4 linked regions of the Oryzias latipes genome follow. The protein of the gene in region 4 binds, or shares a complex with, the protein of the main gene of each other region. Links are inferred from orthologs where the notes say so. Each region holds a gene or a part of one and is shown on either strand. Other genes may lie near its edges.

Region 1 (4,085 bases), on a different chromosome or scaffold from region 4:
ATCTTATTTCTATTTTCATGTGATGCATATATTCATATATATATATATATATATATATATATATATAACTTATCCAATTTTGCCAACGTAAATGAATTACTTCTATTGGTAACAAGTAATTGAGTTAAATTTATTCAATCTAATTTCTTACGTCTATAAAACTCAATCGTTGTTTTTACAGCTCAAATTTACATATTTATCTAACTAAATGTCATATTACTCCAATTCAAGTAATTTTTTTTCCATCGTAATGAATTATAATTCTTGAACTCTCAAATGTCTAAGTTTGAGCCGGCAGATCCTCATTTTAATAACAATAGAAAGAACAAAAGAGTGCATTCAGAGTGCGTTCATTCATTTAGGAATTTTCCAACATTGTCAGTATTCTAGTTAACCGTAGGGCTGCTCTATAAACTCATCATCCTCTTCCTCCCTCTCACTCATGGTGCAGAGACGTAAGCATAGTAGGACAAAATAACTCGGCAAAACACAGTAAAACAGCTACACAACTAAACACATTTGGTCAAAAACCCACACTTAAACCCAAATCCGTCCAGACAGGCAAAGGAAATGGTAACCCACAATCCCTTGTGGTGCCGATCTAACAGCAGCACCAAAGTTACACCTACTTAATTGAATTAATTTGAATGAAAGTGAAATAACTGTCTGAAAACTACGTGTTATTTTAAAACTGACTTAAAAAAATGATTTATCTTAACTGAAGCAAATAATGAAGTTAGATCAAAGTAAAAAGTTTATCTTTCCAACATCCATATGTGGTCTTATCATCCTCTCATGGTTGAAAAAGTATTATCTGAGCTTCTTCATCCACTAAATCATCTTCAAATGGACACGCCATGCTGCTTCACCTCTCTGAAAACAAACTAACCTTCAACTAAACCTGCTCCAGACCAGGTAATAACTTTAGCTTGTAGCTCCGCCCACACGCGGCCGCGGCATCAAGCTTTAAAGAACAATTTCTAAGAGGCGGGGCGTTGCACCCCCCAACAACAGGTTAGATGACAGAGCCCCCCGGTCCATTAAGCGTCTCTGCCGTTCACGGAGCTTCAGTACGTAGAAGTCCAACAGCCACACGGCCTAACGTAGTCCGCTATTATGTATTCATGAGGGAAACCGCAGAACCGACCCTAAAACCGCCCAATCTGGCAACACTGTCTTCCTCTTAACCAATCAGAGAGATACTTATTTGAAAGAGGGGGGTCGTTCCCGCTGCTTGTCCGTCACACCTCCCCGTCCCGATCCCGCCACCGGCTCCCGCATCTCTGCCGCGTGTCCCAAACACACCGGGAGCAGCTCCTCTGCTCTGCTTGTCTGGTTCTGCTGCAGATTCGTTCTTCACGGTCCAGAACTCCGAACCGCCCCTTCACACACCTGGGTCTGAGGAGAGAGGCGTTCACGGACCCTCGGAGTTCACAGCTACTTGGAGGAGGAGGAGATGCTGGGAGAATGTCTGAGGAGGGGAGTGGAGACGAAGAGCGGGCCGGCCCGCTGGACATATCTACATGAAACATATCTACATGAGACGTATTTGCTGGTTATGACATCATCAGTCTGCTGGTCATGACATCATCAGGCTGTTTATCCTCAGACGTCACCGTTCCTGACAGCCCTGTTCAGGGGGACCCAGACCCCCTTGTGGCTACACGGTTCTGCGGTGGCTGGACGGCTCAGGGACCCACCCTGGATGATAGTGGTCACTCAGTGGGAATCGAACGCTGATTTCTGATTTCTGCTGGTTTAGTTTGGGTGAACCAGGATGTTTATTTCTTTTCTTTTATGAAGTTCCTGAAATTTGGAATGTTTTTATACAATCGCGTCCAGCAGGCAGCGGTAACCGAAATAAACTCTATTTCCCACAATCCTTTGGGGTTTCCGGTTCCAGCTTGTTCGGAGTTCTAAGATGGCGGACCGGCGGCGACGGAGGAGGCGCGCGTCCCAGGACAGCGAGGACGAGTCCGGGTCCGGGTCCGGTTCGGACAGTGGCAGGTCGGGATCGCCGGCTACGAAGGCGCGAGGGCGGGACGTGGTTCCGGAGGAGCCGGTGGAGGCCCGGCGGGAGGAGGCGAAGAAGAGCGACGTGGAGTCCGAGTGTGTGAGTAGCTGCGCCGGCTAACCCGGGAGCTAACGGCGGCTCCGGGAGGCGGCCGGCGGCGGTGACCCGGCCCGCTGCCCGGTGGGCCGGACCGGACTGGCAGCGGGGAAACGGTGGGGTGGGGGGTCATTCACGCCGTAGAGCAACCGCTTCCGGTTTACAACTCCCTTCAAGCTGCTCAAACTCTGAGAATGTCCGTTAATTTGAGTCGCGCGCGCCGCAGAGGGCTGGGGAGGGAGGGAGGGAGGGAGGGGGGGGGTCTGCACTGAACCCGGCAGAGGGCTTCCAGGGTCCTGGCCGGCTTTAGTCCGGTTCTGCTGGGTTCCGTGGGGCAGGTCCCGCTATGAGTCACCAGATAAGAAGCGGAACCGGGTTTCTGCTGCTTTGGGTCCAGTCACACGGACTCGAACCTGAGCCCAGAGGAAGCTGCTATGTTGGGGATTTGAACCTGCATCTCTGCTCCAAACATACACACGGCGCTCCTGCTGGCTGCATCACGTGACCAGAGATGGATCAGACGCAGGGTGGACTGCAGATCGGAACCAGCCTTCATATCGGCCCACATCCTGGACCACGTGATACATTCTGACCCCCCCCCCCCCCCCCCCCCCCCCCCCCCGTTCAGCAGCTGGCTTACATACACAGATGGGGGCGGGGCTACCTGGCCAGCACCAAAGGCACCTGAGGTTTCAGTTCCCGCCCAAACACAGACAGACCCCCCCCTTCCCCCGATGGGCTGTATGTGGGCACTGGAGTGAGCGATGATGCGTTCACACAACGCCGTTCTCGTGTCTCCTCCGTGTCGGACGCCTGTCCTGGAACGTCTTCATCTAGAGCAGTGTCTTTCAACCAGTGTGCCGTGGGAAATTGCCCTCATTCACTGATCTAAAAACATTTTCCATCTCCAGGATTTCAGCTCTGTGTTCATCCAAACATCCTGATAAAACACTGAGGAGTTAGGAATATGAAAGATCATAAAATACTTTTTTTTGCGTTTATTTTATTTTATTAAAGACATTTTGATAAGAATGACGCGATTCAGCTGCACCTTCGGCTGTATTTTGGAAAAGTCCCGCCCCTTTAACTGTCTTCACCAATCATTCTTGGGGGGCTTAATCACATGTCATCAGTCTGACCAATCAGAAGTGGTTAAAGTCTTCACTTCCGTGTTCTTAATTCTGCTCATAAAGTCACTCAGTTCTAACAAAAATACCAGCTAAAGCTCGTCTTTAGCGGTGTAGCTTTCCACAGAATCCGGTATCAGACCGTGGAACAAGTGAACAAAACCATGAAGCTCCGAAAAGCGATCTTTGGCCGTTTTATGCACTACATCTCCCATGATGCATTGGGTTGTGAGAGTGACGGTGCACAGGGAGATCTGTTGTTAAACGTCTTGAAACCAACGAACACACAAACTATTTTTAAATCTTCTAACTTAACTTTTATTGCATCTTTTAGAAAAAACAGCTGCAGTTTCCAGCTTTTTCTGCAACAACTATCTCAAAAATGCATGTGAGATTGTGGAGGGAGGGGCTGTAGATCAATACAGACTATGAGATTCTCCTTTTTTTTATTTTAATTTTTGGATGCTGGTGGGCCGCGGGATTTTTTTTAAGGTTAAAATGTGCCGTGGCTCAGAAAAGGTTGAAAAACACTGGTCTAGAGGCTCCAGCGGCGAGTGGGAGGAGCTACTGTTAAAGGACCTGGATGATGTTTGGAGAGCTCAGCGTTAGTAATCCCGCCTCCACGTCTGCGTTCATGACATCTCCGTGGTGCGGCGAGCTTCACCGTCTGCTTTATGGCGGCGCTTCCAGCGCTCCTGTCTCCGTTTGACGACTTCCTGTCAACATTTTATGTCGTCTCCATGAAACCGACATCCTGATGTTCAGGACAGCAGATCCTCCAGAAATCAGACATTTATCGTCATTTCCAGCTGTGCAACACGTAGATCGCAAAAGACGGCCAAAAGGTC
Region 2 (4,008 bases), on a different chromosome or scaffold from region 4:
CAAATGCCTTACATGTGCAGTCATGCTCTTATTAGTAATAAAGATGATTCTGATTCTAAAACCTTGACATCAATATTAACACAGAATGTACTAATAATAATTATGATAGAAATTGCAACTCTAATATTAATAACAAGTATAGTCACAATTTTAATAATAGAAATGCTATCCCTTGCAGTATAATAAAGTATTTTAAATCATATTTTTGTTGTGTGAATGTTGACACTAATGTTTAAAACAAATGTATACATTTCTCATTGTTCTCATTATATCAGTGATGACACTAAATATAATACCAAGATAACAACAATTTTCAATTCTTGAAAATATATGGCATGGAAATTTTAACAATGCTATTAATAACAAATATATCATTAATTATATTGCATTAAATTGTCCACACTAAAGTATAAAAAATCATGATTATTTATTAATATCATGATTGAGTAAGTAAGTAAATTTTATTTGCATAGCACCTTTCACAGACAAAGATCACAGGTTAAAATATATATATATATATATATATATATATATATATATATATATACATATAAAAACATAAAAGATAAAAAGCACAAACCACGTAAAACAATCATCTCAAGCCCAATGAAAGCAGTTTCAGTTAAAATGCTTTGCAAAAATAAAAAGTTTTCATGATGATAAATGTAAATTATTTCATAAGGGATAAATTAGAAATCATGATTATTAAAACATAAATTATCGTTTAATATTATGCATTTTTACCAGTAACACATGTGATATTAATCATGAATATTATAATAAAACTCTGCACTAAAAATTAATAACAAAAATTTCATTTTCAAATAAAAACTCATTATTAATCTTATTATTATATTTGACTAATTTTATATTAATAAATGCAAATTTTCTTCATCTCCTATTTTTTCCCTGTGTTATTAATCAAACAAATTTAAATGTATCTCAGTAACATCTCCAAAAGTCTTAATCAGAAAGCTGCATGTTTGTATGAAAGTTGTTGAAATCTGAATGTTTTTTTTTATCTAAAACTCCTGTAATATGTATGCTACCCTGGCATATCTGAAGTTTACTTAGCAAAATTGTGTTTTGTATTAAACTTACTTACGTTTTGTACAATAAAGTTTAAAAAAAAATCTTTACGGAAGTTACGTACTCAGACTCTTTAGTGATTCTCCGTGCGCATGCGCTGTTCGTACTCAGTCAAACAGACATCATGGCGGACGTGTTGGACCTTCATGAGGCGGGAGGAGAAGACTTTCCTATGGATGAGGATGGTGACGGTATTGCGTTGTTTTACACAATTAGAGGCGGACGCACCGCAGTCCTGCCAGCCAAATAATGAAATTCAAATAGCCGCACGTGCGGTCAGAATCACGCTCAGCCCAGACTGCGTGTTTGTTAGCGGGCCGCAGCCGTGTTAGCATCCAGCTAACTCAACGAAAGGCGGTCATTCATCCACTTAGCGAGCCTCTCAGCGGGGGTGCAGCCGTCTGTGTTTGCGAGGGCCGCTTTTAAAATGTTAATTATTTAAACGGACTGTATTTTTCTCTGCACGTTAAAGCTGTTTTGTTTTCTATTAAGCTAGCGCTAGCATCCATGTTAGCCAACGGCTACATGCTGTTAGTGTTGCGCAGATGAGAGAAAAAACGTCGATTTAAAAATTGCACATTGTTCCTAAAAAAACAACCCAAAAACACATATAGTTACTCCATTTGAGAACTTCATAAACTAAACTCTTGTGAATTAAAGGAAACTGAAAACGGCGTCCTTAGGCTTTTATTCGTCTGTTTGCAGAAAGCATCCACAAGTTAAAGGAGAAAGCCAAGAAGAGGAAAGGACGAGGTTTTGGTGCAGGTGAGCTTTCAAAGCATTTTTCCCTTTATTTTTCTTGACTTCTTAGGGTTTGGTTTTGATTCTAAGTTTTTGATTCCAGATGATGGGGCCCGGTCCAGAGCCAAAGAGGACTATGATACTGTGGAACAGGACGGAGATGAGCCTGGGCCTCAGAGATGTAGGTGTTACAAGTGACCTTCATGTTCAGATAGAAGCAAATTAACAAGCTGTAGTCACACTTAGATTGTAAAAAATCTAAGATCTTTGTGTGTATTTTTTTTTATTTTATTTATTTAATTTGATTATAGAATAAATGGTCAATGTTGTGCTTTTCTACCTTTACTAAGCCACTAAGGGCTTGAAAGTCCCAGTCCCATGCACAGTCACAGCCTGTAACCCCCACGAGCGTTGTGGGGTTTAAGTGTCTTGCCCAAAAGACACGTCCACACATGGGCAGGCAAGGCAGGAACTGAACTTTTGATTGAAGGTCTACCTCTGCATCACAGCTGCAGATAACTAATTTAATTTAACCTAAAGTTCATTGTTTAAAAGTTATAAATCAGTTTCACGGCTGCGTTTTAATTTTGACCTATGCAAAAACTAAAAAACTGCTCTGAAACAATGCAGACTTTTACTTTTGAAACTGCGTGAATGCCAGCAGGTCAGGTAAACTCATCTGCTTGTCTTGGTGTGGAGACTGGGGGGTTTGGGTGTCTGATGCCCTGTTCCCTCCCCTCTCTGCAGCTGTAGAAGGCTGGATCCTGTTTGTGACGGGCGTGCACGAGGAGGCCACAGAGGAAGACATCCACGATAAGTTCTCAGAGTTTGGGGAAATCAAGAACCTCCATCTTAATCTGGATCGCAGAACTGGCTATCTGAAGGTGAGTTTAAACCATTTCCTTTTTCTTTGAACACATTTTGTATTTTAAAGACACAACATTTGGATGTCAAATGTTGCTTATGTTCCAATGAACATCTAAGCGGAAGAAGTGAATATTTGATCAACATTAAAAACAAGCATTTAGGCAGTAATTATCAGAGGGAAGGATGGAAGTCATCATATTAATGATGTGGAAGATTTCATTCAGTAGGATTTAATCATATATTTTATAATACTTGTAGAAAAGAAAGTTGGTTGCTAAAATAAGGCTGTTGTGTTCTCAGAACAGTTGCGTGAAGGGGTTAAGAGAGAGCCTGGACTGCCCTTTTGTAGCAGCACTTTAGTTTCTGTGAAGTGAAGCTGATATTTAAGAACAGTCGTATGAAAAACAAACTATTTCGGCTTTATTATTACTGAGGGATTTTCTTTCCGTCTTATTGGTGTTTGGCCGCCACTAAAGGCTAAAATGCTCAGTGTTGAGTCTTTGACTTTTCCACCAAAATAAAAGCTTTGGCATAATTCTGGTCTAACTGCACGACACAAAAATGGATGAGAAAAGCATTTGGGGGGCCGTGAGAAGAAGAGGGTTGACCTTTCTGCAGTTTGTTACTTCACGGTCTGCTCAGTGAAGGAGGAAACCGTCTGACATCTGCACTTTGTGATCAGAACTGTATTATAATAATTGTCAGATTTCAAAGGGTTGTTTTTCAGTTTTAAAACGAGTCTGAGGATACTTAAAGCCTGACTGTCACTGTATTTTCACTCAAAAAAAATATGTTTTTCTCTTTTGGTGCAGTGTTTTTCAACCAGTTTATAACTGGAAAAAAATTCCATTTCACCTAATTGGGCTAAAAAAATGTTTTCCGTTAGCAGGATATCAGTTCTGTGTTCATCCGAACAGACCCGGCTTTTCCACTGGAGTATTTAGAAATGTCTGCTTTGGTTTTATTGGTTTAGTTTAGTTTGTCATTTGCATTGTTTACCTAACATACAGTATAAACAATTAATTAAAAAAATAGGCAGAAGCATATGAAGCTTATTATATGCCTGTCCTTCAATGTCCAAGTTAATCAGTTTAACAAACCAAAAAGTAGGAAACAGTCCTTAATAAATGGAGACAAGTAAACAAAGTCCTTCTACATCTGTGTTTTGTAACCTTTAATATGTTTTAGACTTTTTTTCTTTTAACTGAGAATTACGTCATTTTAATTCATCGCTCAATTCCTTCCATTATTTCACGTCAAGAACTGAAACACATCTTGTCTTGACATTAGATCGAACATTAAACCTGTTCA
Region 3 (4,266 bases), on a different chromosome or scaffold from region 4:
TCAATAATCATTCACTCTGTGGTCATAAACGACACGGGACAACAGGTCCGCCATTTAGTGGATCCGCTCACCAATTCTTTATTCTTCTTCTTCTACTCTCCCAAATTTAACTTGCCACGCCCCCTGGTCTCTAGGGTAACCCGGGAGGGACACACCTCTCCCAAAATAAAAGATCCAGGAAGTTGGTTACATACGTCCACCCTTTCAAAAGAAATGTCCTCATTTCTACAATTTCTACAGGAAATGCAACAGGCCGGGGAGTGCAAAAAAATAAATAAAATAAATGAATTAAGAAATAAACATTCGAGACCCAATATGGCGTCAACAAAAGTCAACCAAACAGGAACAACATGAGTTTACAGAACCCACCGGCAAATTTCCCACCACAGGAGGGAGAGGAAAAAAAAAAATCTGAATAATAATACAACATTGCCTGCCAACCAACAGCATATTATTCAACAGAATCTTTCAAGGAAGGAAAACACAACAACATATGACAGTCTCCTCACAACACCAACAAAAATTTCACTGTGACATAACTCTGTATTGTTACATCCTAATAAAGTCCTGATAACGTGTTGGAGCACGCACCATTCTGCCACTGCGGGAGTGTGCAGGGGCTGTCCCAAACGCGTCCCTCTGACCCTGTTGGGGTGGATCACCATTATCTGGGGGGTCCAATGAAGTACCCGCCGAAGGAGAGGATGATGGCGGGGTGGACATACTGTCGTTTGGGGAACCAGCAGGCAGGGGAAGAGTGTAACGTTTTAACCTGTCATGATGAACAACCTGGGCCCGCTCAGACATATCCAGGGGGTTGACAATGCGATATGTCAAAGCGGCCTCTGCACCTGAAGCCAGAACCCGATCCACACGATAGGGACCTTTCCAGTGCGGTGCTAGTTTTGTGCGGCCCTCTGTTGGGTTATTAAGCCAGACCAGAGCACCCTCTGTAAAGCCCTTGTGGTGAGAGTTCTCATCATGGTACAGTTTCTGTTTCTCCTGCGCCTCTGCTGCATTAACCCTCGCTGCACTGAAAGCAATCTCCAGCCGCTCCACAAGAGACGACGCGTATAAAGGCAGCGTGGCTGCACTGCCAATGCCACCAACCCCACTAGGAATGAGAACCTCTGCCGGGGTCCGGGCTTCGCGCCCGTGCATAAGATAAAAGGGAGTAAACCGTGTGCTGGTGTGCTTGGAGATGTTGTAAGCAAAAGCAACAGATTTCAAATGGTCATCCCATTCCCCCCCCATGGGACAACAACATCTTGGCCAGCTGGTCAATTAGGGTAACCCGGGAGGGACACACCTCTCCCAAAATAAAAGATCCAGGAAGTTGGTTACATCTGTTTTAATTGTGGTTTGACACTTTATACAGCTGCCACAATATTGTAAACCTCAAATGTTTTTTCCAAACGAAAAACAATTGCTCTTCCGCCTGATAAACCTGGTCGCCTGCTGATGACGTAAGCAGAGCGACACGTGGAGCGCTGTTAGTAGCTAGCAAAGCGGTTACCCCCCTTTTGCGGAGACTACCGATTCGTTTTGAAGACAGACACGACCGTCATGGCCGCTGCTGGGACACCGGGCAGGAGAAGACTCCTGAAGGAGGAGGACATGACCAAGGTGGAGTTTGAAACCAGTGAAGAGGTGGATGTCACCCCTACCTTCGACACCATGGGGCTCCGTGAGGACCTGCTCCGGGGAATCTACGCCTACGGTAGGCCGGTGGATTCGAGAGGCCTCCGCCTCCAGATGCTAAGCCTAAATCCGCTGTGTGGTTCAGTTCACCTTAAAAAAGGAATGAAAACGTAGTTGGTATCAGACTACATCCCGTAATAACTTACATTAAAGCGGGTAGATTGGTGTGACCTGATCATTTTGTCGTTGGCGGGAAGAAAAACTTCATCTTTTTAGCCTTCATGCTAGCATGCTAAGGCCGCGTGCGGCCGCGCTGACATGAAATTAGTTTAAATTCGTGTTGATTATTTACTAAACGAAAACCAGATACTAAAATTTGCGGGTTTCGTTCAGTAATGCCTGGACACGATCTTTGTTGGTATTGTTGCTCGTAACAGTCATGATCCAGGAGTTAGACGGTTCCCATCCTATATGGCTTCGTATATGTAGCGAATATTTTACTAATTTCCCCCAGAACTATTAATAAATATATGTCAACACTTCTGTCTTAATGTGTATTTTAATTTTGTTTCTGTTCATGTGTTCTGTCTTCTCCAGACGGCAGAACATTTTATGAACATATTATCTGGACCCAAAAGGACGGGAGAAATCCCAATAGACAGAATCGATCAGATTTGTATCTACAGTAATATTGAAGTGTTGCACTGATAAAGATGAATTCTCTACATTTTCCTGGACTATTGTGCTTGAGAGGATCCTTCTTTACCCCTAAAACCCAGTTTCTCCATAGAAATCCTTTCTGTGGGACTAAAACTTTTCTTTCTGGTCAGCATCACCAGAACTTCCCACTTTGGTCCCCCTCAGTTTGAGCAGCATGGGAACTTCTCAGATGAGGTTTCTCTATGTGGAAATGAAGATGGACAGCACCTGACCAGGTTCTGGTTCTGTTACAGGTTTCGAGAAGCCTTCAGCCATTCAGCAGAGAGCCATCAAGCAGATCATCAAAGGCAGAGATGTCATCGCTCAGTAAGTCTGGGCTGGAAAACATGCAGGTGCTCTGGTCCTCCATGCTGTAACGTGTGATCTGTGCTGCATTCAGGTCCCAGTCTGGAACAGGAAAGACGGCCACTTTCTGTATTTCCGTCCTGCAGTGTCTGGACATCCAGGTGAGTTCTTGCTGTTCTTGTGTCCCGTGACAGACGGGCCAGAACCCGTTTGCAGCTCGGTGGTGATGCTGTTCCTTCTGCAGGTCAGGGAGACCCAGGCTCTAATTCTTGCTCCAACCAGAGAGCTGGCCGGACAGATTCAGAAGGTAGCCCCGCCTCCACCGCCATGTTCAGCCAAAGGCTTGTAAGGTAGAGGCGGCGGTGCCAGTCACGGTGTCCTGTGTGCAGGTGCTGCTGGCTCTGGGAGACTACATGAACGTTCAGTGTCACGCCTGCATCGGAGGAACCAACGTGGGCGAGGACATTCGCAAGCTGGACTACGGCCAGCACGTGGTAGCTGGCACCCCTGGACGGGTTTTTGGTGGGTTCAATGGGTTTTATGGCAAAAGTGGCACAAACGGGAATGCTGACGGCGTCTCTTTACAGACATGATTCGGCGCCGCAGTCTCAGGACCAGAGCTATCAAGATGCTGGTGTTGGATGAAGCTGATGAGATGCTGAACAAAGGTGAGGTCCTCTGCTGTTCAGCGTCTTCTGTACCTGCAAAGCAGCTCTGTCTGAGCTGAAAGCTCACCTGCTGGTCATCAGAATAACTCTGGCACCTTTGGTTACGTCTGAAATGTGTTGAAGGAGCAGGAAGGGTTGGTCCTTCCAGGTTGGAACCACCTGTTCCAGACACACTTGAAGGTCACCTTTCCTTTCAGTGGTCGTGTTTTCGGCTTAATGTGTCAGATTTGAAAAGTCCATTTGACGCCATCGGGCCGCGATGTCACCACTTCCTGTTTAGGACGTTTAAAGCAACACTTCAGTGAATTTTAACGGTGACATGGAGATGTTCTAAGTGAAGGTTAGGAAGAACCTTCAGCAGAATCTTCAGCAGAACCGCTAGCAGGGTCAGAACTTTAAATTCATGTCTGTAGTGTTGCTAGTGTCACTGCAGAGAATGGTTTCAGATTTCTGCTTTAACATTCCAGATTCGTGGGGGAGCAGAGCTTTTGGGGGGTGGGGGTGGTGGTCTCTGTAGCGCATGGGGAGGTCTTCATCTCACCACCACACATCTTTGCTTGGCTGTTGGTGTTTTTGCTCTTCGTCGCCATCAGATCTTTTTCATTCTAGAATCCTGGACGGATTTTTCTACGAAGGCTTGAACTTTAAGAGAAAAGTCTGGAAATGTTGACAGCTAGCTTGTGGATTTCACCTGTGGCCGGTTATTTTAGAAGGCAACTCCCGCGATGGGAATGCTGTAGTTGAGTTCCGGCGTGACTGCACTTCCTGAATGACCCTGGTCAGTCAAAGCCGCCGTCATGGCTGAAGTTCTGGCAGACCGTCCTAAACTACGAGCTCTCTGAGAGGTTTGGGGCCGGCCTCAGAGACGGAGATGCTTCTGGGTCTCAGGGACCAAAAATCAGGAGCAGCCTTTCTCCGGTTTGGAGCACCTGACATCTCTGAGACTTCATTT
Region 4 (4,163 bases):
TCAGAATGGAGCGGAGCAGAGAGGTCGTGGCTTGTTGCTGTGCTGGCTTTGACGTCACACCTACAAGTCTTTTCCAACAGCATGTTTTCATCTGCTCTTGATTTACATCAAGATTAAAGAAACACTAAGAAACGCAATTTTGAGGCAAATTTTCTTTTTTATGTTCTCCATCATAAAGTATGAGCCACAAGAAGAACACCAAAAAACACAGATTATCATGGAAGGTCCTTCAAGTTTAGCATTTTCAAGGATCGGTTGAATTCTAAGCCCAGCTGCCGCATTGATAACCTTAACTACCAAATAAATTATTCAAATGTGAACTTTGCAATAAGTAAAACGTTATTCTATAAAAGTATTTAATTCTCCCTTTCAAAATAAGGCTTCACCTTGGAATCAAAGTAGTGACCCGTTCCTCCAACTCGTCTGTCTCTCTCCATCAGGTACCACTGCCACGGAACCCGGGCGACCCTTTTCTCCTACATCATGTCACATGGTGGAAATAATTAGTCGTGTAAATGCATTTTGAAGTCTTGGTTACATTTAAAGCATTACCTTTCCTCCGTTGGTGAACTTGTGAATTTGTATGGTGGCAAGACCTGGAATCATGAGAGCCACGGCCATAAGGCTCAGACCGGGTAAGATTTCATACCACATGTTTCTTAAATGTCACGATCAGGCGGATGATTAAAGATGCGAAGACAACTGAGTTGCCTTTAGGCGAGAAAATGAGCTTTATTTTGGTTAATGGCTAACGAAATGTCCCCGCACAAATGACCTGCGTTCGACAACCGGAAGAGAACGTTAAGTTCCGGTTGAAACATTTCAAAAGAAAAAAAAGTGTTTGCCACTTTTGCAAAACTGCAGATAAAAGCTCTGTGCATTATTGAATATTTTAGTAATGTTTTACTGTATATTATTAATACAATTGTAAATAAAATTGTACTGATAAAATACGGTTTAAATTTTAACAGAATCTTAAAATGTCATGCGATTGCAGGCATTTTGGTGTACTTTGTCCACACGGGATCAATTTCAATTTTTTTCTTTCGTTTTTCGGTTTACAGTGTACGTTTAAAATTTACTTTGTGCCGTCGAAGTAAAGGACAATCAAAACAATTAATTCGACAGGGTCATTTTGAGCTTTAATTTTGAAAATTTGAAATCATAAATCCCAATTAACTTAAACCCAAATTCACTTTGCTGTTGTTTCCTTTAGACAAAGTATTTGACGCGTAACATTAAAATATTTAAAAACGGAAACCGTTGAATTATTTCAATGTAAAATATTTTCTTGATAAACTTCCCCCAACATACACATAAAGTTGTTTCGGGTGGGTGAGTGCGCCCTCTACAGCCCAATGCCGGAATTGCATGTCTGTCAAATAGGAAGTTAGTACGCTTGCTACTAGCTGGCTAATTTTCTAAAAGGTAAACAAGTGTGTCGGATGAGTTGAGATTAAACTTCGACTAAAATTAACTTTGCGCCATGAAAGAAGACAAAGAAAACACCCGACCAAGAGAGAAAAGAGTGGACATAAAATGCGAAGATCTAGAAAAGACAGAGAAGTCTAAAGAAAAAAAGGAAGCCATGACAAAGGTACAATTTGCTAGCTGGGTTAGCTAATGTTGCTACAACCGTTACGTTATAATATAGATTCAAGAAGTTCAAAGTAGCTGAATGCGTTTAAAATGTGTGTGGGGTTCTTTTGTATGTTGCACAACTTATTTTAAATGATACAATTGACAACAGTGTAATGAATTAATGTTTTAGCCTAGTTTTGAATGAATAGCTATTGGGCAAATAATACATTTTAGTAGAATTTTGCTGTTAACCATGTTTTCCAAGATTGTGATCAGACGATTACCACCCACGTTGACCAAAGAAGAGTTAGAGGAACAGTTGCAACCCCTCCCAGAGGTTGACTACCTGGAGTTTTTCTCCAATGACACCAGGTGAATTTCTGGACCATTTCATGCACAAGATAACATTTCTTGCAATGTGTTTTTGTTTTTTTAATTATTTTCTTTTTTTCCCTTTAAATTCCAGCCTTTACCCACACCTCTTTGCAAGAGCTTACATTAACTTCAGAAACGAAGAAGATGTGGTCCTCTTCAGGGATCGCTTTGATGGCTACGTGTTTGTTGACGGCAAAGGTCTGAGGAGCACACACACACGCTTGGAACTTTTTGAGCTAACAACACATAGAGTTTGTGCTTAGCATTTCATTCTGAAACAGGTCAAGAATTTCCTGCGATTGTGGAGTTTGCACCTTTTCAAAAGACTGCCAAGAAAAGAATAAAGAAGAAGGACTCAAAGTGTGGCACAATTGCAGAAGGTAAGACTTTTATACCTTTGAATATCTAGTGGTTTTCTCCAACACGTCTGAAGTTTGAAGGTGTTTTATGCCCTAGTCACAGCTGCTCTTGCAAATGGGTACGGGTTGTCTGTACGGGGTACGCAGGGGTCCCCATAAAATAGGATAAAGATAAGATAAAGAGACTTTACTGATCCCAGCTTGGGAAATTGGGTAGTTGCAGCGTCAGCATACAGACTCAATTCAAACACACAAACAGAGGTGACAATCAGAAACAAAACAATCGGTTCACATAACAGCTCTAAAAAAACAGACAAATGAGTTTATCTATTGCAAATGGATGACGAGTTATAGAATCCGATGGAGTGAGGTAGGAATGATCCCCTGTAGCGGTCGCTGTGACCATGAAGCTGCCTTAGCCTCTTGGAGAAGGTGGTCCGCTGACCGTCCAGAACAGGTCAGGATTATCCATGATGGATGCGTGCTTTTTCAAAGTCCTCCTCTCCATCAGAGCTTCAAATGTGTCCATTGTGAACCAGATTACAGAGCCAGCTCTTCTGATCAGTTTGTTCAGTCTTTTAGTGTCCCTGGCAGCTATGCCCCCCCCAGCAGACCACCAAGAAGAACAGAGTGCTGGCCACAACAAACTGGTAGAAAATCTTGAGCATCTTGCTGCACACGTTGAAGGACCTTAGTTTCCTCAGGAAGTAGAGTCTGCTGCTGGCCTTCTTGTACACACTAGCTAACCACTGCTGTGTACAGATTTGTGTCCAGATCAGAGATGTCTCTGTGAGCCTGTAGAGCAAATATGTTCATGCGTTACATGCTGTGGGCAACAGGTTGTAGGGAACACTGAAGTAGGTGAAAGACAGGCGTGTCGCATAGATTTTTCATGTTTTCAACCCCACCAAACCCTGTGTGCTGTGCAGAGAGTCCGTTAGTGCTCTAGAAGTGAAATGTGTGTGCGGCGTACTTGCAGCCTGACTGTTTGGAAAAAAGAAATTAGAGCGTTTGTGTGGGTTTCCTCTGGGCATTCTATGGGCACTATTACGGGCACAGCATTTGTGGGCGGTTAGTAACGAACAAATAGTAAAAACATAAGAAAATACATGAGATTTAAACACCCTACCTTTTTGTGTTTTTGATTCTTTTTATTTTCCCAGAATGATTGCAGATGTCAGACGCTGTTTTATATGCTAGTTTGGTCTTTTTTTCTGCACATTGGCGCAGTGGTTAGCCTCACTGCAAGCCCCCCCCCCCCCCCCCCCCCCCGCTTCAAGTCCTGGCTGGGGGACCTTTCTGTGTGGAGTTTGCATGTTCTCTCCATGCATGCGTGGGTTTTCTCCGGGGTCTCCAGCTTCCTCCCACCATCCGAAAACACGCTTCATAGGATAATTGGTTATTCCAAATTATCCCTAGTTGTGAATGTGTGGCCCTGCGACAGACTGGTGACCTGTCCAGGATGTCCCCCTCCCTTGCCCATGAGTGGTCGGGATAGGCTCTAGCAGCCCTGTGACCCCAAAAGGGACAAAACAGGTTTTGAAGATGAATTAATAAATGACTGAATGAATAGTAATGAGCCAATGCGTGCACCTAACTAACGACGGGAGTGCATCGTTAGGACGCAGTACACCAGCATCGTTATAAGGCGCGTGCGGCATTACAATGGTACGTTCCACTTTCTTGACATCCCATAAGGAAGCGGCACAAGTCTCCAGGTCAACCACTGTACACGTGTTACTATAAGTCATAACCTTGAAAGGTGTGTGTCATTAACAACTTTGACCCTTTTTGTTGATGTCAGATCCAGATTACAAAAGGTTTCTTGAGTATTACAACGGAGATGAC

The links. The genes of interacting proteins can lie anywhere in the genome.
Region 1: upf3b (region 4) and casc3 share a complex: the UniProt entries of both Homo sapiens proteins name them as parts of the mRNA splicing-dependent exon junction complex. The link is inferred for Oryzias latipes from reciprocal best matches to the Homo sapiens genes UPF3B and CASC3.
Region 2: upf3b (region 4) and rbm8a share a complex: the UniProt entries of both Homo sapiens proteins name them as parts of the mRNA splicing-dependent exon junction complex. The link is inferred for Oryzias latipes from reciprocal best matches to the Homo sapiens genes UPF3B and RBM8A.
Region 3: upf3b (region 4) and eif4a3 share a complex: the UniProt entries of both Homo sapiens proteins name them as parts of the mRNA splicing-dependent exon junction complex. The link is inferred for Oryzias latipes from reciprocal best matches to the Homo sapiens genes UPF3B and EIF4A3.

What each region holds. Positions count from the first base shown.
Region 1 is NC_019866.2:506,203-510,287, reverse strand, and holds the start of casc3 (protein CASC3), read left to right. Parts: upstream 1-1,282; 5' UTR 1,283-1,921; coding exon 1,922-2,113; intron 2,114-4,085. UniProt on the Homo sapiens protein: Required for pre-mRNA splicing as component of the spliceosome. Core component of the splicing-dependent multiprotein exon junction complex (EJC) deposited at splice junctions on mRNAs.
Region 2 is NC_019874.2:29,126,845-29,130,852, forward strand, and holds the start of rbm8a (RNA-binding protein 8A), read left to right. Parts: upstream 1-1,205; 5' UTR 1,206-1,213; coding exon 1,214-1,274; coding exon of another isoform or gene 1,275-1,280; intron 1,281-1,794; coding exon 1,795-1,854; intron 1,855-1,933; coding exon 1,934-2,011; intron 2,012-2,577; coding exon 2,578-2,714; intron 2,715-4,008.
Region 3 is NC_019859.2:158,188-162,453, reverse strand, and holds the start of eif4a3 (eukaryotic initiation factor 4A-III), read left to right. Parts: upstream 1-1,463; 5' UTR 1,464-1,566; coding exon 1,567-1,720; intron 1,721-2,594; coding exon 2,595-2,667; intron 2,668-2,740; coding exon 2,741-2,807; intron 2,808-2,890; coding exon 2,891-2,953; intron 2,954-3,035; coding exon 3,036-3,168; intron 3,169-3,233; coding exon 3,234-3,314; intron 3,315-4,266. UniProt on the Homo sapiens protein: ATP-dependent RNA helicase. Involved in pre-mRNA splicing as component of the spliceosome. Core component of the splicing-dependent multiprotein exon junction complex (EJC) deposited at splice junctions on mRNAs.
Region 4 is NC_019868.2:9,735,307-9,739,469, reverse strand, and holds the start of upf3b (regulator of nonsense transcripts 3B), read left to right. Parts: upstream 1-1,353; 5' UTR 1,354-1,486; coding exon 1,487-1,597; intron 1,598-1,846; coding exon 1,847-1,953; intron 1,954-2,047; coding exon 2,048-2,154; intron 2,155-2,237; coding exon 2,238-2,336; intron 2,337-4,119; coding exon 4,120-4,163. Other genes in the region: ndufa1 (NADH dehydrogenase [ubiquinone] 1 alpha subcomplex subunit 1), read right to left, coding at 387-476, 553-654. UniProt on the Homo sapiens protein: Involved in nonsense-mediated decay (NMD) of mRNAs containing premature stop codons by associating with the nuclear exon junction complex (EJC) and serving as link between the EJC core and NMD machinery.